2 linked regions of the Rhinolophus ferrumequinum genome follow. The protein of the gene in region 2 interacts with the protein of the main gene of each other region in a pairwise test. Links are inferred from orthologs where the notes say so. Each region holds a gene or a part of one and is shown on either strand. Other genes may lie near its edges.

What was found.
Region 1: the proteins of CCDC184 (region 2) and PBLD interact in binary tests that used the Homo sapiens proteins (3 or more experiments, as listed by UniProt). The two-hybrid records come from large-scale screens. The link is inferred for Rhinolophus ferrumequinum from reciprocal best matches to the Homo sapiens genes CCDC184 and PBLD.

What each region holds. Positions count from the first base shown.
Region 1 is NC_046299.1:46,945,485-46,956,429, forward strand, and holds the start of PBLD (phenazine biosynthesis-like domain-containing protein), read right to left. Parts: upstream 4,417-10,945; 5' UTR 4,278-4,416; intron 3,748-4,277; exon of another isoform or gene 3,546-3,747; intron 1-3,545. Other genes in the region: HNRNPH3 (heterogeneous nuclear ribonucleoprotein H3), read left to right, coding at 8,606-8,717, 9,229-9,367, 9,879-10,063, 10,493-10,579, 10,873-10,945.
Region 2 is NC_046293.1:49,611,911-49,622,560, reverse strand, and holds CCDC184 (coiled-coil domain-containing protein 184), read right to left. Parts: upstream 3,800-10,650; 5' UTR 3,270-3,799; coding exon 2,679-3,269; 3' UTR 1,448-2,678; downstream 1-1,447.

The DNA.
Region 1 (10,945 bases), on a different chromosome or scaffold from region 2:
GCATAGGCACATATATAATGAAACCTATATTTGTATCTACCACTCAGAAGCTTAAAATCATGTGTGGGGGTGGGGGGAATGGTCTGTTACTCTACTATCTGTGCCATGTTCTTTAAGTTATTAATGTGCTTATGACACATTAAAAGCAGTATAATTGATTTCAATGCCTTAAGTAGCTTTCTTTTGTAGCTGTTTTCTCTGTTCCTCTCATCAATCTACTAGAACAGAGAGAATGTTCAATACTTTTACATTTTTTTGAATGTTCAATACTTCTAATATTTTCAAAAATTAGAGTGCGTGATAAGTGCTTCCTTCTTTTTAAGTTTCCATTTGCTTATTTAGTGTATAATTATTAAAATTGGATGAGACTTTTGGTTTACCCTAGTCCCAGAATGAATACTGATGTGACACAAAGTATTAAGAATGTTAACTGTAATTCATTAAGCCTTGTTTGGAGAACTAATTTTGACAAATAATCATGACAAGGAAGATCACTGATTTCTAAAGACAGTAGATATATATGCTATAAATCCAAGAACAAGCATTTCACAAAACGTTAGTAAGACAGATTTAGTGTTCAGAAGGCATTAACTATACCCCAATTAGACATGCTCGTAGAAACTTATGCATAAGTTTTGTTATGTTTAACTTATTTGCTTTTCATATAGGCAAAAAGATTATGATAACCCACTTTTTATGTTATTTTCAAATGTCATTGAGGGTATGTGAACAACTATCTTAACCAATTTTTAGTTAATGTGTCTTCCTCTCCCAGAAGCGCAATCTCTTTCAGTTTCTACATCTTTCTTTTACTTTCAGGCTCTGCATGGAATTTTCCTCTCCTCTTCATGTTGATGGTGTAATACACGATCACCTGTTCCTTGTCTTGTTGTCCCCTGGGTGATGTGGGTACTTCTATTTCTTTCTCCTTTTTCATCTTTTCTCTCATTATGGCCTCTAACAAGATCCTCTCCAGGGTCCCTCTGATCTCTATGTCAATAGGAAAGCACTGAAATGACTGAAAGAAAGACAAAGAGAAAAAAAAAAATCCCAAAAGCAGCTGGGAGCCCTTAGTTCTAACCATCTCTATGGAAACAATTCCACAGAGATCCATCTGGAAACAATTCTGTAGGGATCACTGGAGCAGTGGTAAACCAGTTCACCAAGGCTTACTTACAGGATAGGATTCAACTTGCAAATAGGAATAGTTGATAGACTTTTTGTTGTTGTTGTTGAGAAAAGTAGTAAAATAGGAAGCCAAATAAAAATTAAGTTTACCCCTATATAGTGTACTTTTTTTAAAACTCAAAGCTTCCTACTTGCTATAATAATAAAAAAGCAAAAGGAACATATGTACTAATTTCAAGTTCTTTGTAAGCATTCACACTGGCAAACAGTGGAGTGCCCAATACAAAGAAATTGTGATACCCACCCCCCCAAAAAATAACACAGAAAAAAAACAAACAAAACATCACGGTGTGGTGGCAAAAAGTCATTAGAATGATTTTAGGATTGTGGTCCATACCACACTAAGTAAGTATGTGCAGTGCCAAACCTCAACAAGGCAGTAAATAGATTGTTTGAATTCAGGAAAAGGGTGAAAGGCATTACAGAATTCCATCCACCAAATCAGGTTGAAAGATTGAAAGGATGACGTAGGGATGTAACCTGAACGGAGGAAAAGAACTCCATCCGAAGTGTGGGAGGTTGGAGACTTACTAACACAGAAATTATTTTAAAAGGGGGGGGGGGGGGATTGTTCACAGTGTCAATGACACCAGGACATCAAGTTTCAGGCCTGTTCAAATGTCTCCAGACAATAAATTGTTAACAGCAAGGTCTCCTGAGATCACAACTCTAGTGTTTATTAGGAGAAGTAACTTCAATTTGCCTAAAATGATGTTTGTTTCCTTAGCATGGTTAAGTTATTTGCAACCCCAGGAAGGTTAGTTCTTTTAAGTCCCTGGTCCCTGGAGTAAAACCATTCATTTGGGTTCAAATCCTAGCTTCTGCCACTAGGTGTGTGACCTTGGGCAACTTTCTCACTTATCTAGAACTCAGGTACCTCATCTGTAAATTGGGGATAATAATAATCTTTCAGGGTTGTACAGAGTCAGCGAATTGAGCACAGCGTTTAGCTCAAGCATGCTGTCAATTCACGTCAGCTATTATTACATTATTCTGTTTTTTTCTCTCTTTCAATGATGACCACACCATCCCTTCCCCCTTTTCTGAGGGGTATTTTGAAGGAATAGGCTCAAGAAAGGCAGTACAGCACTATGACCTAACCAATTCTCACTGTCCCACACTTGTCTTAAGCACATTTGAGAATGAATGAAAGCCATGAAATTGAAGTTTCCATTATCTGAACGTAACCGGCCTCCTGTCTTTACACATTGCAGATCTTAAGGAGGAAAAAATTGTTCAAGCTTCTCCACTAACACACCCTGCGCCCCCTACGCCATCCTCAACGGGCTTCCCAATAGCTGTAGTACAAAGTCCAGTCTTTGGCTGGGTATTGAGGGTCTACAACCTAGTTGTGTCCACCTTTCCAACCTACAGGAACAAGTGTGTTCAAACTCATTTCTTTTCCTCCCTCTCACTTCATGTATCTCCCTTCCCACGTTGGATATTAATTTACATTGATCTCTTTACCAGTACTGCCCTCCTCTCTTCCCAGAAATTGGGCTTGCATTCTTTTTTAATTAAAAAAAGGCTATAAAGTGTCACTAGGAACCTTGGTGACAGCACAATCAAAAAGTATTAGATGTCACTTGTACACGCAATTTTCAAGGATGCAAAGCTCTATTTCGAAAACCCGAAGTCGGCCGTGAACGACTGGTCGGTCACTGACGTTACACAGTGGAAAAGATGAAAGGCAACAGAGAGCGCAAAGGCGAGGAGAAAGCGAGGAGCGATTTGTAGAAGAACGTGGCAGGGAGGAAATCAATCAAGAAGCCCCCCAGACTAAACCCGCTGGGGGGGCCCGATGCGGAAGCGCCAGGGCCCGACGAAGTTGGAGCCCTAGCTCGAGTCGAAATTGGGGTCTGGGGAGCACTTCTGAATCTCCGCAGCGGAGAAATAATCCTATTTTCACTGCATAATGCAAACATGGTGGACGAGAAAAACCCTCCCTGCATTTGGCAGCCGAACCACGTGGCGCCTTTTCCACGCAGACGACGCTAGGATACGGGCGGGGCCTTTATGGAATTTGTTCTTGGTGGGGCAGAGTACCAGAGAACTTTTTCAAACTGCGACACCACGGTTCCTTCAACACACGTTGGCAAGACTACGACCGCCACTTATCGTCCGGGAGAGGGCAGAAAGGTGGACTCTGAGAACTTGCTGGTTGTACGGTAAGCAGGAAGGGCGAAGTCTCCGCCCCTTTCTCTAACTGGGCAGCCCTCGACACCTCCCCTCCAACAGTGGTCCAGCCTACCAGTGCGCAAGCGTACTACTTGCTGCCCGCGCCAAAGCGGGACCAACTCTCTGATCTCGCGAGCACGGGGCCGGACCATCTTCGTTGCTCTCGCTCCGCCCACCCCCTCCTCGTTCGCGCTTTCCCATCCCCCCAAGCCAGTCGCTCTGCTGCGCAGCTCCCATAGCGGTTGCCTCCGCCGGAGACGGTTGGAAGAACCGTTGTGGGGAGCGCTCCAGTAGGCAAGCGACTTCTTCCTCACGATCGGACATCGCGAGTCCCGGAATCGGCGCTGTTGTCGTTCGACAGGGTATCTGAAGTAAAAGGGGGTAGGTTGGGCTGGTGGTTTCGAGAGCGGAGTCGGGAGGACGAAAGAGACGGGGAGGGGGTGCTGTGGGGGTGAAGTGTGGAGGTCGCCGCTCGGAAGAGGCCAGGCTGCGCCTCCCAGGCGATCTCCCACTTCAAGGAGGGCGGCATGCCGGGGGGTGGGAGGACTTGCTCAGGTGGACTTCAGTGGACGAAGCCGAGGCCTGAAGTGGGGGTCATCCAGCATTTCCCCTCTCCCTGCTGGTTTGGCCTCCGCCATTTTGGGTACGGTGGCGCGGCCACCTCGGCTTCCCGCCCTTCCTCTCTCTCTCTACTTTCTGCCCCTCAGCTTCCGAAAACTGATTTAGAAGGCCAAAGGGTGGTCACAGCGCCCTGGAGGGGTGAAGGTGGGGGACGAAACAAGCAGGGAAAGGCCGGGCAGTTGGGTGGGGGGAGGACCTGGGCAGGCGGGCGCGTTCCCGTTGGAAATGGCGCGGGATGGGCCTGGCCTCCCACCGCGGCCTCCCTTCCTCCGCAGTCTCGGATGGGCTACCTGGGCTGGCGGGACTGCGAGTGACTTCTGACGCAGATTCTCAAGATGAGAGAGGCTGGAGCTGGGGGAGGAAAGCCAATGGCGACGAAGGCGCTCAACTCCCAAATCCAGGACAAAGGAGGCAGACGGTCTCCTTTGTAATTCCGCCGCCCGGTGGCGAAGGATTTTAAGCCAGGCTTGGCTGCCGGACGGGGGGCGGGGGGGGAAAGGGGAGTACTCTCCCTAGCTTTCTGGTCTCTAGGGCAGCTAGATAAACGAAAAGTCTCCGGGGAGGAATAAAGGACGCTTATCTGGCCCTTATATTCCAGATTCGGAACTTCGAAAAGAGTACGTACTCATTTTCCGAAGGGTTTTTTTTCATGCTTATCTTAAACGTAAAGACTTTGTGGGTAATTGTTTTGTAAGCAGAAAAGTGGGTGACTTATAAAATAGGAATGTGAAATGGGCATGTTTCAAATAGGTCGTCTGGGCCCAGTGAACTGTGACTATGATACGGCTTACTGAACTTTTGGGCGGGGGTGGAATGGTTTAGCAATGATTTTTGTGTAGTTTTGGCACGTACTGGGTTAGAACTTAAGCAGTTTTTACATTTGAGAAACGGTTAAAACACAACCAGTAATGGCAAAGGGTGTGTGTGTGTGCGCGCTGAGTTACTGACTTAAATCTGCAAGAGTTGTATTTTGTGCGAAGACTGTTGGCATTAGTATAGGACTATAGTAATATTTTGACCAAGAAAATACACCTACTCAATAGAAAAACAAATCCAAGTCATGTGGTTGCCATGATTTTTGGTCCTTATAACACAGGAGAACTGGCTAGGTGATTTTCACGGTACAAAAAGGACTGGCAAGACATGAGAAGAGTTTCCCATAATGCATATGGGTCTTTACAAGAAGTCTATTTTCTACTTTTCCAGCTTTAAAAACAAAAACATTCTTATTGAAGATGTTTTATGATTTTAGTGGACTTTGAAAAGACAGCCCAGAGTTATCCTATAAAGTAGTATATGATATAACAGCTTTCCTAATTGGATTGTCCTAGAAATTTTCTGCCCTCATCTGCATCAGAATCTGGAAATCCATCTAATTGCCTTTGTATTTTTAATAACCATGCTCTTTTTTGGTATCCTCATTTTGATGAACAAGCTGCTGAACTGTAATAGATGGTAACTTTCTTCTAGAAAAAAACTCATTTTTCGTGACCTCACCTTTAAGTATTAGCGATTAAAAAAGTGATTAGTCTTTTTTAATTCAAAATTGAGCAAGCACATTGGAAGGGGGAAATGATGAAAAACCATTTCAGTTAAACATCACCACTTTTCTGCCAAAATTTGAAGTTCATGCTCATGTTTTAGGACCAGTGGGCTACCATTTAGAAAGTTACTTGTGGATGCATCAAACCCTTTTAAGTATTATACCTTGGAAGACACTATAATCTCTTGTAAAGATATTTTGTATTTCATTGGCCTTTGTTAGGTGCATTTTCTTAACAGCTTTGAGATAAAATTTGCATAACAAACTTAATACATTTAAAACCATACAGTAGGCCTATGTGTTCTTTTGTGGCTGGTGTCTCAGCATAATGTTTAGAAAATTACAAAACTGACTACAGTTATCCTAATATTTCCACTGATGGTGTTTTTAATTGGTGCTTTTTTTGTGATTTTTTTATTTTTAAACACTTGTCATTCTTAAAAGCAGAATTGAGATGGACTCTAAATTAGTAAAAACTTAGGTAGTTTTTGAGACAACTTTATGAAGGTACTAAAGCAGATTGTCTTTTTGTATGGTTTTTGTTTTGTAAGTAAAATTTTAGACTCTAACATTGAATTTTGAAGAGAAAATAGTATGTCTTTTTTTATTTTGTACTCTACATGCACATAGGAAGGAGACTTGCCCTATAAAAGTTTCTTCCGAATCTGGTTAACTTTTCCCAAATTTAAAATTTAACTTTTCCCTAATTTAAAACAGTTTAGTGTGTATGTCTCTGTTTTTGTTTTTAGACATAGTACTTTACTTGTTTTTATATCGGTCTCATTGGTATGGGCTGATCAAAAAAATCAAAACTAGTTTTCTTGCTAGTGTTTGTTGGAAAGTGCTAAGATTTGTAGTATGGATAAGTCGATTTCCATTTTTTGTGTGTGTTCCCCCAAAACAGTAGCTTTACATTGAAAAAAAAAGTGCTAAATGATAAAAAGCAACACACTAACATCTTTTCACAACAGTTTAGATTGACTTTGCAAAGTTCTTACATTTTTCATGAGAAATTAACATGTGACGTTGGATACTCTCTCCCTCTTCTCTTAAATCACCCTTTATAGGAAATGGCTGTTATTTAAATCGGTGCTATTTTTTTGAAAAGTTTGTTTGTTTATTAAAAGAAAATGGTAGGTCTTCATAATGTCTCAACTTTTTTCCCTAAACAGATTAGCGGCCCTCTTCTTTCAGGGCTGCTATATTAGAACAGTGTTTTAAAATCATCTAGCCTAACATGTTGTAGTAAACATTTCCCAAAACCCTGGCTTTTTTTCTCTGCTTTAGATGATTTCTAAGGAAACATGAAAATGTAAAGCCTTTGTTGACTTTGGAAAAGACTTGTAACAAACAGTTCTTACTCCTTTGAAGACTGGGTACATTTCTATCCTTTAAGGTTCAGTTATTTTGTTTGTGGTACATTTCATTCGTTCCACCAAGCCTCTTCAAATCCAGTAACACTGGCCACCATTGAATGGTCGTCCTGTCTCAGACCACTGCTTTATTTTACAGTTAGACACGGGTTAAGCAGTTTGCTGAAAATTAAGTAGCCAGTGAGTGACAGACTAGGGATTCAAACCCAGTGTTTCTTTTATCTTAAAAAGTTCATACCAGTTATTTGTGTGCATAAGAATTAGATGTAATGTCAGATAAAAATTTCTATTCTTCCCATTTTGGGTGTGTCTAGAGTGGCACCTAGGATACTGGCTTTAAAAAACAACAGGTCCCAGGGGTGGTGATTTATATGCAGAGATGTTTGATTAATAACCACATTTGAAAATGTCTACATTAGCTTATTTTAACTGCGTAGATTCTAGGAAAAAGAAATTTTACTCTTTGCAGATGCTGCCCCTAACAGTTGCACTGATAATTAGATCATACTTAACTGAAATTAAATATTAGTGAATACTGTTGACACAAAATATAATCCTTGAGCATAAATAAAGGAATGAAGTTGAACAAATTGTTTTGTTTACAGGGGAGGTGGTGGTGAGGGAAAGGTTTGAAATATTCAGGTGAGTAGGATTCCTTGTAGCTGCACAGTGAAATTTGTAAGGTCTGGTAAGTTTCTGCAGCTGAAGGACTTCTGCATTAGCCTCTTTTATAGTGTTCTGGAAGTTGAAAAGAAAGGATGGTTGTCTTGGGAAGGAGACTGGGTGGATGGGTTCTTTTTGAAAGGAAAGGGCTTCTTACTGTACCCTTTTTGATACTTTCTGAATGTGAATGTATTTTTTTTTAATTTGTGTTTAAAAGTAAAGCAGTGAGTAAATTGGGATTTAATACACTATCTTCAATAACTTCCAAAACAGGTGGCCTCAAAAAAACACTGATACTGTTGGAAGGCATTCATCTTTGAGTGGTATTGTTACCTCAGTTTTCAAATCCAGCCTAATTCAGGCATTTTAAAACTTGCTCTTGAGGAGTGTTTAAACTAGATTTAATTAAAATAGAGATACGAATTTTTCCCCCTTCAAAAACAATTTGATATGTTCAGAATTATAGTGCATCTAATAAATTTAGGCTTTTGTAATGCCATTTTTCCAACATCATAGCATACTCGTACTTTTAACTTAGGCTCTTACTGTGAATGGATAGTGGTACTATGTGCAACTTTTGAGTAATGAAGTTTTAAAGAATTTGCAGAACGAACTATTCAAGTGAATAATAAAACCTGGAAAATTAAAATTTTGAGAGAGGAGGAAGAGGCAAAGTTGACATTAAATGACAGTCAAGCAATAGGGAACATTTGAAGACTGATAGTGAAATTATGTAAGCTATCTTAAAATTAGGCAACATATAATATTTGACCCTTAGAAATTCAGTTCAGTACTTTTTGGTGGGAGGGTTAGGTTTCACAGCCTTTCCCCAGTCTTTTTGCTTACCCCACCAAAACAGAAAGCTGTTGTACTGTTGTATTGTGGCATTGTCGCCGGAGTGTCACTGAGTTGTATGTTGTATTTCCTGTTATGCATCACTGAGAGGTGTTTCTTCAGTACCTCTGACAAGAGTATATTTTGATTGACTGCTTTATGTGCTTGTTTATTTTTTATAGCATTTAAATCAAACGGTATTGAGATGGATTGGGTTATGAAACATAATGGTCCAAATGACGCTAGTGATGGGACAGTACGACTTCGTGGACTGCCATTTGGTTGCAGCAAAGAGGAAATAGTTCAGTTCTTTCAAGGTACCTCTAGTATTAGTCAAAGTTTAGTAGTATTTTAATTTTACATTATATTACTCAGTTTTTAATTTGTAAAACCCATTTATTTGGGGGACTTTTTAATTTGGGTATATATTGGTTAATGTATTAAGTTGTGGGATGTGCTCCAGTTAATATTCAATACAGAATGTGTAGAAAATGTAAAAACTAATGTGCAATAAACTTGAGAGTAATGTGTGATAAAATGAACCATGAATTAGCATATGGAGCATAAATTTGATTCGAGCTTTTTTTTTCTTTTAATATAGGTGGGCTTTTAGCGTATGTGTATAATTTTAAAAGACACTGGTCACAAAAAAATTTATGTAATCCAGTAATATTTGAAAAATCTTCCATTTGTATTATGGGGTGATGGGGAACTAAGCTTTTTTTTGTTTGTTTTGTTTAGACTTGTTTTAAATATTTGATTCAGATGGGAATGTTTCAGCCTTTAACACTGTTCCCCTTGATGGGGTTATTTGTCCTTGGGTTAAAGGGTTGGAAATCGTGCCAAATGGGATAACATTGACGATGGACTACCAGGGGAGAAGCACAGGGGAGGCCTTCGTGCAGTTTGCTTCAAAGGAGATAGCAGAAAATGCTCTGGGGAAACACAAGGAAAGAATAGGGCACAGGTGGGGATGGAGAGTTTGGGATGGTGTTAAATTTTTATTTTTGGGGGTTGTGGGTCACTATTGCTTAAATGGGGGGGTAACAGTAACATTTTTCTGGGGTAGTTTAAAAGAATTGATAATTATCTAAATTTAACTTGGAAACTACAGATTTGGGTGGGGAATTAATGCTAATAGTTGGCTTAAATTAAAATTAGATTGTTTCCATTTTCTGTAGGATGTTGATAAATGTTTTTGTATAATCAACTTTTTTCTAAACTCCTATCATGTACTAAAGGAAACAAGTTAAAATTATATTTATATTATAAATTGTTTTCAAATGACTAATTTGTCTATGTAAACTTAAGTATTATTTAAGTTTGTAGATGTTAAAATGTTAACTTTATGGTGTATTTAGGCAATTTAAATTGGCTTATGTATCTAGATATAGAAAAACTTACTGCATTTTGCCCGATATCTTAGTTACTCTAATACATTTAAGCTGAAACCTATACCTTAAACCATTTTTAAATAGGTATATTGAGATCTTCAGAAGTAACAGGAGTGAAATCAGAGGATTATATGATCCACCAAGAAGATTGCTGGGCCAGCGACCGGGACCATATGATAGACCAATAGGAGGAAGAGGGGGTTATTATGGAGCTGGGCGTGGAAGTATGTATGACAGAATGCGACGAGGAGGTGATGGATATGATGGTGGTATGTGTATCTAATGAACAAAGGTTCTGTTGTCATTTTCTTAATATTCCTGACACTTTGTCAAGAAATATAGAAATGGCAGTAATTTCAGTACCTACTAGGTTTTAAAACCTGTTCATGAAAATACAAATTCCCATGGCCAGCTGTGGGACTTGATTGATGCACATATAAGCACCTAGATAATGTATACAGGAATTAAAATTTTGACATTTTTCTGTTTGGCATAGGTGAAAATTTTGATATCAAAGTGTATCTTTTTGTGATTTTAATTTCCACCAAGTGTTAACTGCTTTTTTTTCACGTTGGGCGTTGTAAACTTGTGATAATTAATAATTTGACCAGACTGCTTATCACAAAGTATGCTTTTGTAAACTAGATTATAAAATGTATCTCTTTAAAGTGTATTCGTGTATTTCTCAACTTATGCAGGTTATGGAGGTTTTGATGACTATGGTGGCTATAATAATTATGGCTATGGAAATGATGGCTTTGATGACAGAATGAGAGATGGAAGAGGTAAACTAAATATTAAAGACATACTCATTTTCAATTTAAGTATTTGCTTTACAACTACCTAGTGGTAATATAAGTGATTTATATAAAGTCAACTCAGGCATCTTTTAATACATTCCTACATCGGGCTTTTATATGATGTATACTTAAAAGTAAATTCTCTTTGATGTTCAGAACACCTGTGTTAAGATCTTTCGAGGTTGTCAAAAAGGTGTAAATTGGGAAAGGTGTGTAGGGAAGAAATGCTTTCTTTTCTACACGTATCAGTTTATAATCTTGGAAATTTTATTCTCTAGGTATGGGAGGACATGGCTATGGTGGAGCTGGTGATGCCAGTTCAGGTTTTCATGGTGGTCATTTTGTACACAT
Region 2 (10,650 bases):
TAAAAGAGCAATTAGTAGAATGGCTCCCATCAAGGGTTCTTTAAGTCAGAAGACCTGGGTTTAAGTTCTGCCAACTACTAGCTGTGTGACCTTGAGCAAGTCTTGGAATCTGTTTCTGGAACTGTTAAGTGAAAATAATAGTACCTACTTTGTATGGTTGTTGGGAGACAATATTGGGCACGGTGTCTGGCACATAGTAAGTGCTCAATAAATGATAGCTACTATTGTTGATATTGGTGCTGAATACTGGAACCATAATAGGAACCTATCTCCTAGCCACTTCCAGGGACACATCCCCACTAATATGCTTTAGTTGCCCTCTCTAGGGCCCCAGCCCACATTCCCCAACCGCTCTACAACTCAAAGCTTCCTCTGGTCATACTACCTGTACAGGGCTGGCCCCCAAGACCTTTTTGGCCCATAACTGCATGACATTTATGATGAAAAGACTCATTTCAGCTTGGGAATCTCATCATCCCCCTTTACTTGATTATTCTGAAGGATAAAAGTTCTTTAGATAGGGAAGGATTATATAACAAGAGAGTTTCTAGAACCTTCCCTAGGTAGTTTTGTTTTCCCAGAAGAGCAGTCATCACCATCACACCTCCCGACCCCCACCAAGAAAACTACATATGAGAAAACTAACATTTGCACAAGACTTCCCAGGGGCCTTAGATAATTTTCTCCCCTACAACTTTTTGTCCCCATTTTACACATACAGAAACTAAGTCTCAAGAAGTCAGTCAGTGTTGGAACTGAGATTCTTTGACTCCAATGCTCTTTTCACTTCTCTGCAGCAACCAGCAGCAAACACACACACGCGCACACACACACACACACACAGCATCCTATTTCATTCTTCTCCCAAATTTTGTTTGGGATAGCCTTGGGAAATCTCCAACGCCCAAGGGAGCTGACTACAGCTGATGTCAGTCTAAGCTCCCTGGGGAACACCTTACCGGCATTCTCCACTAGAGGCCTGAGGCAGTTATTGCGGTTTCCTTTATGATGTGTCACTCTGCCCAGAGATCCCCGGCAAAACCTCCCGAACAATACCCTCTCCGGAAACCTCCCAGGAAACAGGTGTCATGCCTGCCATTCCAGGACTCAGATTTGGAAATCATGTATCAGGGGCCAGGTGCTTCACTTGAAAAGAAGTCTCTTGTACATCTGGAGTTCTGGCTACTAAAAACCCTTGTTAATTTGGGAGTCTCAACACGTACCCTTTCTTTTCCCAGTCCAGCTGGAAGTCAAGGTCCAGGATGGAAGGGAAAGCAGATAGAGTTGGCAAGGACTGTCCAAACCAGGGCAGGGATGGTCAACTCCTTGGAACTGGAGGCAAGGAGAGAGGAGGGAAGGCATGGTCCCTGTGGTTCCCTCTAAGTCCTGGTCCATGCAACGGGCCCAGAAGCCCGACACTGACATCGCCCTAGGACCAGTCAGCAAGGAGGGGAGATGACACCTCTTTATTAAGATTAATACCAAGGAAAGCATTCAGAAGGAATACACAGAGGAGGAGGAAGGGCACACAAAGTCACCAATTGAGGAGATGGGAGGGAGGCACATCAGTTAAGAACCTCAGGACAGCCACATGCTCCATGCCCTGGTTGTGGGGGAAAAGAGGAAAGGAGAGGGGAAAGCGCCATGATAGCCAGGGGCTCACAGAAGGGTCTGAAGCCCCCTGAACCTAACACCAGAGCCACAAGCCCTGCCCCTAAGGGCTCACACACTACTACACAAGTCAACACACGTAACACACACAAGACATGGAGGCAACACCGAGAGGCAGCAGGCAGGGGACATATTGACAGGAAAGGAACTGAAGTTAAGCGGGTGTAGCCAGGAGAGAGACAGTTTTTGGCTGCAGCTCCCAAGAGTCCCTCAAATGTCCCCTAAATCTGGGCTGTTGCTGAGCACCCCAAGTCTCTGCCTGTGAACTGGGCTCTTTGTTCTCTAAGCCCCAGTGAGTGGATAAAGCAATTCCAGATGAAGTCAGTGGCAAGGCAGGATCCGTTCTGCATGCAAAATCCTAGAGGTCGACCTATTATGTCTTCATGCACATTCACAGCCAGCTCCTCCCAGCCCGGGGGCCCTGGGAACCCCATTCTCTCAGATTCCTAGGGCTGCAGTTCCCTCCTCAAGCTTTCTTTACCAATCAGCAGCCGCAGAGATCTGTGAGGGGGAGAGGCTTCTGTAGAGCGCTGAATATCTTGGATTTCAGCAGAAGGGTAAATTTTCTGTTGCCAGAACAGAATACCCCAATTCCTTAATTTCTAGGTAAATCGTTAGAGACTATTTGCCATAGTCCTAGAAAAGTCCTTTTTCATAATAGAAAAAGCAGAATTTTATTTACACAATTCAGGGGTTCTCCTGTTGGCTGGGCAGGGGGAAAGGAAGGGTAGAGGATGGATGGGAGAGTCCAGAGATGGGCGCTTCCTCTCCGGGAACCTCACCTTTCCGCAGTTTGCTACGTCTCGCATGGTTAGGCAGAAAGAATTCTTGATGCTCCCAAAAAGTCCTTCACCCTATCGATCTTTCCTCCAGGGAGTCTCTCTCTGCCTGACCCACAAGAGCAGCGATCGGAGTGAAGCGTGCTGCACCGCGCTGTTGAGTCCGCTGGCGTCATGCACTCGGAAACCCAAAGCCAGCCCGGGAAAGTAGTGCCCCTCGGAGTCCCCTCACAGGGAGGCCTCGCCCTCCAGCTGCAGCAGGGTAATGTCGGGCAGATCGAGGGGCTCCACAAGTGGCCCGGCCCCACCAAGGAGACCAGCACGGGGGCTCTCAAGGCGCTCACAGTGACTAGTGGGTGTGGCGGAGCGGGGCATCTTCTTTTCGTCCTCTTCATCGTCGTCTTCCTCGTCCTCAGGATCTCGACCCAGCAAACCGCTGTCCTCGATTCCAGGAGAAGGGGTCTCTGGTTCTTGCGGGGCTGCCGGAAAGCTCCCCTTGCTGCCGACCACGCCCAGGCCACCCTGGCGGGGCGCCGTGGTCATAATCTGGCACATGGAGACGATGGCCCGCTGATTGGCGCACACGTCGTCCGAGAGCACCTGGATGTGCGAAGCCTGCTCGTCCAGGGCCCCCCGCATCGCCCTCACGTCCTCAAACAGGGCCTGCAGCTGGGCCTTCAGGTGCTCCATGAGTTCCTTCATGCCGCCGTTGTACTCGCCGGAGATCACGTCCCCCACCGCCGGCACGGTGGACACCTCCAGAGGTGCCGGCATTTCGCCGCCGTCCTTGGTCATGATCTCCAGCAGACCGTCCTCCATTGAATGGCAGAAGCGGGCGGTGGCCGCTCTGGGTCCGGTCCAGCCCGGCCTCCAGAGTGGGGGAGGGGCGGGGAGGAGGCGAGGTCCCGGGAGGGACTGGGAGGAGCCGAGGGAAGGGGATGCTCCTGAGAGGGGCGGGGAGCCGACGTGAGGAGACGAGTCCCGGGCAGAGGGTGCGGCAGGATCCGGGGAGGCCCGGAAGAGCCTGCGGGACTAAGACCCGACGAGAGTCCCAGGGCCGGTGTCTCTGCCGCTTGCCCCGGGGCGAAAGTGCCCTCTCCTGCTGCCTCGCCTTCTGGATTGCGCTCGTGTCAGCGCCGCCCTCCCGGAGCCACGAGCAGCAAGTGCCCGCCGATTCCCTGGATCACAGAAGCGTTTGCGAAGGGACCCGGGTCGAGGCCAAGGCCAGCAGCAGGTCCAGCTCGGGACTCCCCCCCGGCCATTAACTGGCAGCGCCTGCAAGTGTGACAGGAGCGGCAGGGGCGGGCTTCCCAGCAGCGCCGCGGATGCTCCCGTTTCCAAGGCGACGCACGGTACGTAAATGACGTGTCTCCATGGCAACCAGGAAGTGGAGAAGAAAAGGGAGGATGGCTGGGAAGCTGCAGTGGGGCTCTGGTGTGTGAGCGAGCGGGTGGGGCGGGAGGGGAGGGTACGCTGCAGTGGCCTCAGCTGAGGCTGGAAAGAGCGTGTGGTTGCAATATTTCTTAGGGAAGCATGAGAGCAGTTTGCTGCATAAACCCCCAGGTCCGGGAGAGGTCATCCCCTCTCCTAGTCTGGGTGCTACACACTGAGCCTACTACCTTGGAAGGATATTCATCTGCCCGCAGTCCTTCTTCAGAGGATTGCGCTAGAGCCGAGTTCTGCTTCTCTGTCCTCCAGCGGTCCGCAGGAAAGCAGAGAGGATACAGCATCCTAGACGAGCTGGGACGCGGCGGCGCCCTGGAGCCGGCCCGGCCGGCCTTGGAGGTGTAGGGGGGAGGACACTCTGGAGGTTTCCGCATCTCTATTCGGCTTCTGCAGTAAATCAGCCCTCTGCGTGTAGATATAGCACAGGAACCGAGAAAGAATGAGATTCCCCCTCCCGTATGAGACCCACCCACTCCTACCCAGGGCACTGGGAATTTTTCCAGGATGATGAGGCAAAGTACTTAAGTTTTGAAAAAGACAGCTCCATAAGAGAAGAGATTTTTGTCTCCTCCGTGCCTTCCATCACCATCAGGGAATCCCCAGTACCTAAAATAGTGCCTGGCACGTAGTAAGTGCTCAATACATTTGTTGAATGAAGAACAAGAACCCTATGTCTTGTTCCCCCATCGGTAACCCTCCAGCCCACACATAGTGGATTTTAGGAGACCTGAACTCAGTTTTGTATCTGCCACTTATTAACTCAGAGACCTTAAATAAGTCGTTTTCCTGATCTGTTAGAGGATTGGACTGGATAATTTATAATGTTATTTCTGAGTAACCCTGTGCATCAGCTCACAGGTGGAAAGGGTGACAGTGTGTGTAAGGATAGCTGCCCCTCCTCAGGCCTGGTGCCCAGGTACAGACCTACACTGAGTGTCTCAACCTTCGTGACAATTCCTTTCCCTACTTAAGGGGCCAAGTGGGAGGGGAGCAGGAGGAAGAAAAATGGGATTTCACATATTTACAGATGACTTCAGACTCAGAAGTAAACAGCACCTGGGTAGCAGCATACTAATATAACCTTAGTCAATTGGAGAGGCCAAATGATCAGAAACCAAAAATGAAGTTCACGAGAAGAAATAAATCTGGGGAGGAGAAAAGAACTGTATCACTCCAGGATGGGGGAAGAGCTAGGTATGAGGGAGTGTTTTGTATCCTGGTGGTTCAAGGTTTCCCTGGTTGTGTACTCTGGTAAGGAAAAGTAGGACTGGCCCAGAGGAACTCTTATGGGCACTAAAGAACTGTTTGGCTTATGCCTGTTTTACTGCTATTAAAATAGAAATAATTGGGAAAATACCCTAAACAGCAGAGTGTTTAAGGCATTGCTGATATAATAAAGTATTGTGCACCCATTAGAAATTTGATTTTCTAAACAAATATATGAACAAATTAAAACCCCTACGGTATTGTATTTTCTAAAACAAATGATCTAATCCTGTTTGCTTGCTCATTCCTTCCTTACTCATTCCACAAACTTGTGGCGCTCTCACCTTGGTTATCTCTCCCACCTTTGTCATGTGCCCTACAGGTTATTCAGAAAGCTCAGGAGAAGACAAAAATGCGTTTCCTTGGCTTCCCTAAGCACAGCTGACTTTACCAAAAAAATCTATACTCTGCTCTAACTAGAAAAGACAGTCGTGACTTGCAGGTCTTTTTGCTTGGGTCTGTTGCTTCACATTTCTTGACCAACACTTGGCATGGACTTGTCGGCTCCTTCACCCTTCAGGTGAGTTCTTGCTTCCATCTACAAGGACTGACCCTGTCCCCAGTATAGGGCCTCCCTCTTAGCCTTCACCTTACATTAAATGTAGCCCCCATATTGTAGGAGCTGGATTATACCATCATACAAGGCCCTTTGCCACTATTGTTGGGGATACCATGTATGTCAAGGTTTTCAGCATAAGATTACATCATGCTCCCAGAGGTGCTGGCAGAAGTCCACTGAGAGTGCCAGGGGTCTGAGCCTAGAGGGAGGGGAAATTATTGGAGAAGCATGAAAGACCCTGGGAAACAAGTGCAGAGATCAAGGGGTGGGGCTGATCCAGTCAAGCTCCAGGTCAGACATTTGAGAGCCAGGGGTGGTGGGAAGTGGGGGAGTGGACAAGTAGCAGAACTTGAAAACATAAGGAGGAAACAATTGGTGCCTCAGATTCAGAACCAGATAATTTTAGGAATTCCATGTGAACATGAGACAGGGAAAATAGGAGAAGGGTTTAGTCTCAGAAAGTAAGGGGGACAGATGCAGAGAGTGAAGTAGAGCCTCAGTTATCTTGCTGGGATACAGGGCTGAGCCCTCTGGACTCCAATTCCCTGGCGTTTGTTGAGTGGGTCCATTCCCAAGGAAAAAGAGGCTGAATGGGTACTCTGGCCATGTCACTAGAGTATTCACATATAAAAAGTATGCCACATAGCAAGAAAAAAAGAAACCCTGCACACTCTTCTTCTGCTTCCCGCCTTTCTCTGTCTTCTGGGAATCACCTAGCTGTTCTGTTCCTTCATTCCAGTCTCATAGGCTAAGGAGGGGAATAGAGTCCATGCTGCATACACAGAAGTCTCCACATAGGTACACTTAGTCCCAAACGTCACATTCTCTCTAAAATTGTGATTCTCAGTAGTTCTGCCAGTTTTCTCTAGCTGTTGTGTAGTTTATCTCCAGTCTCTATATAGCTGGTATACTTTTGGCATTATAAATCTAACAGTCATGGTGAAGACGCTTGCTCTGTTCCTCTAGATCTAGAATAACTGTTTCATCCTTAAGTCCACAATCACCGATATGTCTCCCCAAATTCAACTTTTATGAAGCTGAGTTGCCTTGTGGCCCATCTCGGCATGATATCACATTCAAAAGAAACATATCTAATAGCCAAATAGAATTAAAAAGCAATTTATATTTTTTATTATAATCTCTGGGAAAACTCTAAAGGGGTTTAGCATAGAGGAAGACATCTTAAACTTCTCTTCCCTCATCATTCTCTTTATGGCATAGCTGTCTGCCATTCTCTCTCCTTTCTCCCCAAACATCCCCAAACTTTCTCTCAAGCATGGCCCTTGCTTTTTCACTGCCTGCCCCCCTTCACTTCTTGGATGGATCCTTTTTCTCTTCTACAAGAAGAAACTCCTTGTTTCAGCTCCTTTGATTCTGTCCCCCCTTCCCCTCATCTGCACAGATGTCAGGAGCCCCAGCTGTCAATGACAGGGGTCCCTTCCTAGAGGGTAAGAAATATTGAGAGGCTAAGAATACTGGTATTGTTGCAGGTTTTGTCTGTCACATATTAGACTAAATTTTATCAGCCTGGGAGGGAGGTTTGCCTCTCATGGGGGTTTGCCACCCTTCTTTGCTCATCTCCATGCTTATACAGAGAAATTGGCATGGTAGTTTACAAGAACCCTCAAATCTTTTGAGCCTTTGACTGGAGAGGGGTTCCAACTGCCTACTCTCTCAAGAGACTCTAGTGTCATAGACATGGCCACGAGGTCACACACACACACACCCCTTACTTAAGGCCTGAGTTACTAGACTTCTAGTTGCTTGCTGTGTGCCCTCAAACTACTTTTAGGAGTCCTAAAGGACAGACCCCCATGTCACCCCCATTCCTTTCTCTTCCATATTAACTACTCAGCAAGAATTCCAGGAGACCTTCTAACCTCTCCTGTAGTCTGAATTTCCACCTGTCATTCCAAATAACCTGTCGTTCCAATTAGACCTGTTTTTCTGGTGTTCACCCTGTCTTCCCTTTCTGCATTGCCCACTGCAACAGCTTCTTGTGTCAACACTTGCGGGGGCTTTTTCCCACTTTTAGTGCACATTCAGTCCTTTATCCTGTTCCACTCTGACATGACTAGTCCCAGTCTAGGTTGTGCTGGGTAGTTGGCCACGCTCACACAGGCATTCAGAGCCCTGGTGCAGGGCCTCATGCACCCTCCATCCTCTCCATATATTTTCTGCCCCCAGAAAGTTGCCAACAGCTCAGGGCCTGGTTTGGCTCCAAGTCAGACTCCTCATCAGGCTGTGATAGTGCTGTACCCCCTGAGGACACTCACAATTTCTGTTGTTATGGGACAATTTTGCTTGACAAATTGCCTCTTCCCAAGTATCAGTTCAATTTAGAGGAAGTATCTGGGCGGGATATGGACTGTGGTATGCCTGCCACACACTTCTCTTCCATTTAAAAGAATTTTTAGAAATGTAGTGTCCCTCAGTTCTGACTACGTAAGCTTCCAGACCCTTCTCACCTGTCATATCTTGAGGAAGTCTGTGGTATTCTAGCGTAGAAATTCATACAAAATTTTCTTGGTCTCACTCTTACTAATACAGCTAGTTATGCTCTCTCCATACCTCCTAGAGGCCCTAAAAATACCATCCAAAATGGTTTCTATCACTTCCCCTTTGCTGTGAGGTGCTATCCTAAGGCCAGCAAGGCATTGTTAGTTGCAGTTTCGCAGCCACTGTGACGGTGCGCTGTGGTTCTATTCCACACGCACAAATGGGAACTACCCTGGTATTCATGGTGTATCATGGACAGGGCCCCCAACAGTAATCCAGATCTTCCAAATACTGCAGCGTACTGAGGAGAAGGGCCCTTCCCTCCAACTTTTTCACCCAGACCATAAAGCCCGTGTTTTAACAAGTCTTGCATGAAAACAGCTCCTCCATCTTCTGTGGTCAACCATGTATTCACAGGTTATAGGCACAGTACCTGCTTTGTTTTTTGTTTGTTGTAAGGCAAAAGGAAAGTCCCTTTACTTTTCTTTATTCTTCTCCCCAGCAGTTATCAACATCTGTTATACAGTATTTTTACTCTTTGTTTGTTTATTGTCTTTCACTTCCAACTGGGGTATAAGATCTGTTATGACGGGGGGTTGGTTTTGTTCACTGCCATCTCCAGCACCTAGGATAGCACCTGGCGCAATGACTCAATAAATATTTGTTGACTCAAGGAATGAATGAAGCCTGAATCCACACCTGGACAAAGAAACATCTTCCTTAAGGACATGTAGTCTGCAGACCTCCATCTCTGTCTTACCTTAGAGAGCAGTTCAGCTTCTTTAATTTTGACCATCTACTTTGATGATTTACGGTTTATGTTCACACAATTTCATGGCCCTTTCAGTGGCTTTTTTTGAACAAAGAAATACTATAAGACACATGAAAGTCTCCATCTCTTGCAAAATAGAAAAGTGCTTGCAGCTTTGAAATGAGAGTTATCATCTACCTACCCACTCGGTCCCCCAGCAGCATATTCTACCACTATTCCCATCAGTCTCAAAGATACTGGGGCCAAGTTTTAGTCAGAAGTCAAGGTCAGGGGACTGCATGCGCTCCCCTCCCCTCAATATTGTTTGAGAATAGGATGCTGCTAAGTCTGTATTCCCATCCTGTATGTCAAGGAGAACTCCTGACTTATACTCTTATTCTACTAGAGACAAGCTCAAAAAATGTACCCTGCTACTACTGTTTATAAGATTGTTAGCTAACGAAGAAGAGACAATATAAATAGAAGTGTTACTGCACTTCAAAGAGAGTGTTTCTCTTCCCTTTGGGTTCCTGAACTGGTAGACTAGTAATTTAGGATAACGTTAGCCCCGGGTACTTTTTACTGTAATAATATTGAGGCCATTTTGTCTTTTGCTTGTGCCTACCCTACTTCTGTTCTAAAACCAAACCAAACAAAAACAAAAGTTCTCCGCACTCATCAAATATATAACAAAGGACATATCAAGTTCAGTCTTTCCAGGATCGTAAAACCAAATTAAAATCAAAGATGGATCAGAAAAACAATCCTCCAGGAATCCAGGAATTGAGGTTAGTCTTTAAACAACCTTAGCAGCACAACTTCAAGAAGACCTTGCTCTTCTCCACTGTGCTGTCTGGGTCTCTAAGAAGTAGAGGGCGATTTTATGTGACACTCACTGCTGTTTGCCCAGATTAAATGCATGAAACTGGGACCTGATTCCCCTCAGAGGGTGATCCTGAAATCACATATCCAATCTCCTGGTCATCCCAGCTCCTCCATTCCCATAACATACATCTGCTTCCAGTTGCTTTTTATGTTGTTAAAAATCAAATCCCTCTATTAATGGCCTTAGTGGCTTTTGCTGCTCAACCTGAGTACCTCCAAGACACCTCCAGGTGTGATAGATAATAAACTGCCCACAACTTCACATTATTCGAACATTGAAATCTCTGGTGTTTAAGTTGTAATGAGGTCTGTGGGACATAGGCCTCTCTGCTTCATGCTTGTGGACTTTTATTAGTGTTTCAGGGGACATTAGCTCCATAGAAAAGAGTGATTATGGACAAAGGTACTAAGAAGATGGAGATGGAGCATAGAGATGATGCCAGGGCTGTAATTTGAGTCTAAGATCTAATGGGAAAAAAGAAATAATCAACAGAGGTGTATGAGAGAAGGAAAAGCTAGAAAAAAATTTCTCAGTAAATGTTTGGCTCTGAGACAAACTAACACAGAGGACAGAGAGCACCATGGTTCCCTGATTCCACTATGAGGGCAAGAGGCAGGGTGAGGCATTTAAGTAATATTTCTTCAAGTGTTGGTATGTGAGAAGAAGGAGCCTGAATCTCCTTTTTCAAGAGGTCTTGAAAACTGGGAAAAGTCTTTTTTCAGTTTTTTGGGGGAGGAAATAGATTTATTTATCCCTGTCACCAGCTTTGTCCGCACCCTACTGCCCACGTTTT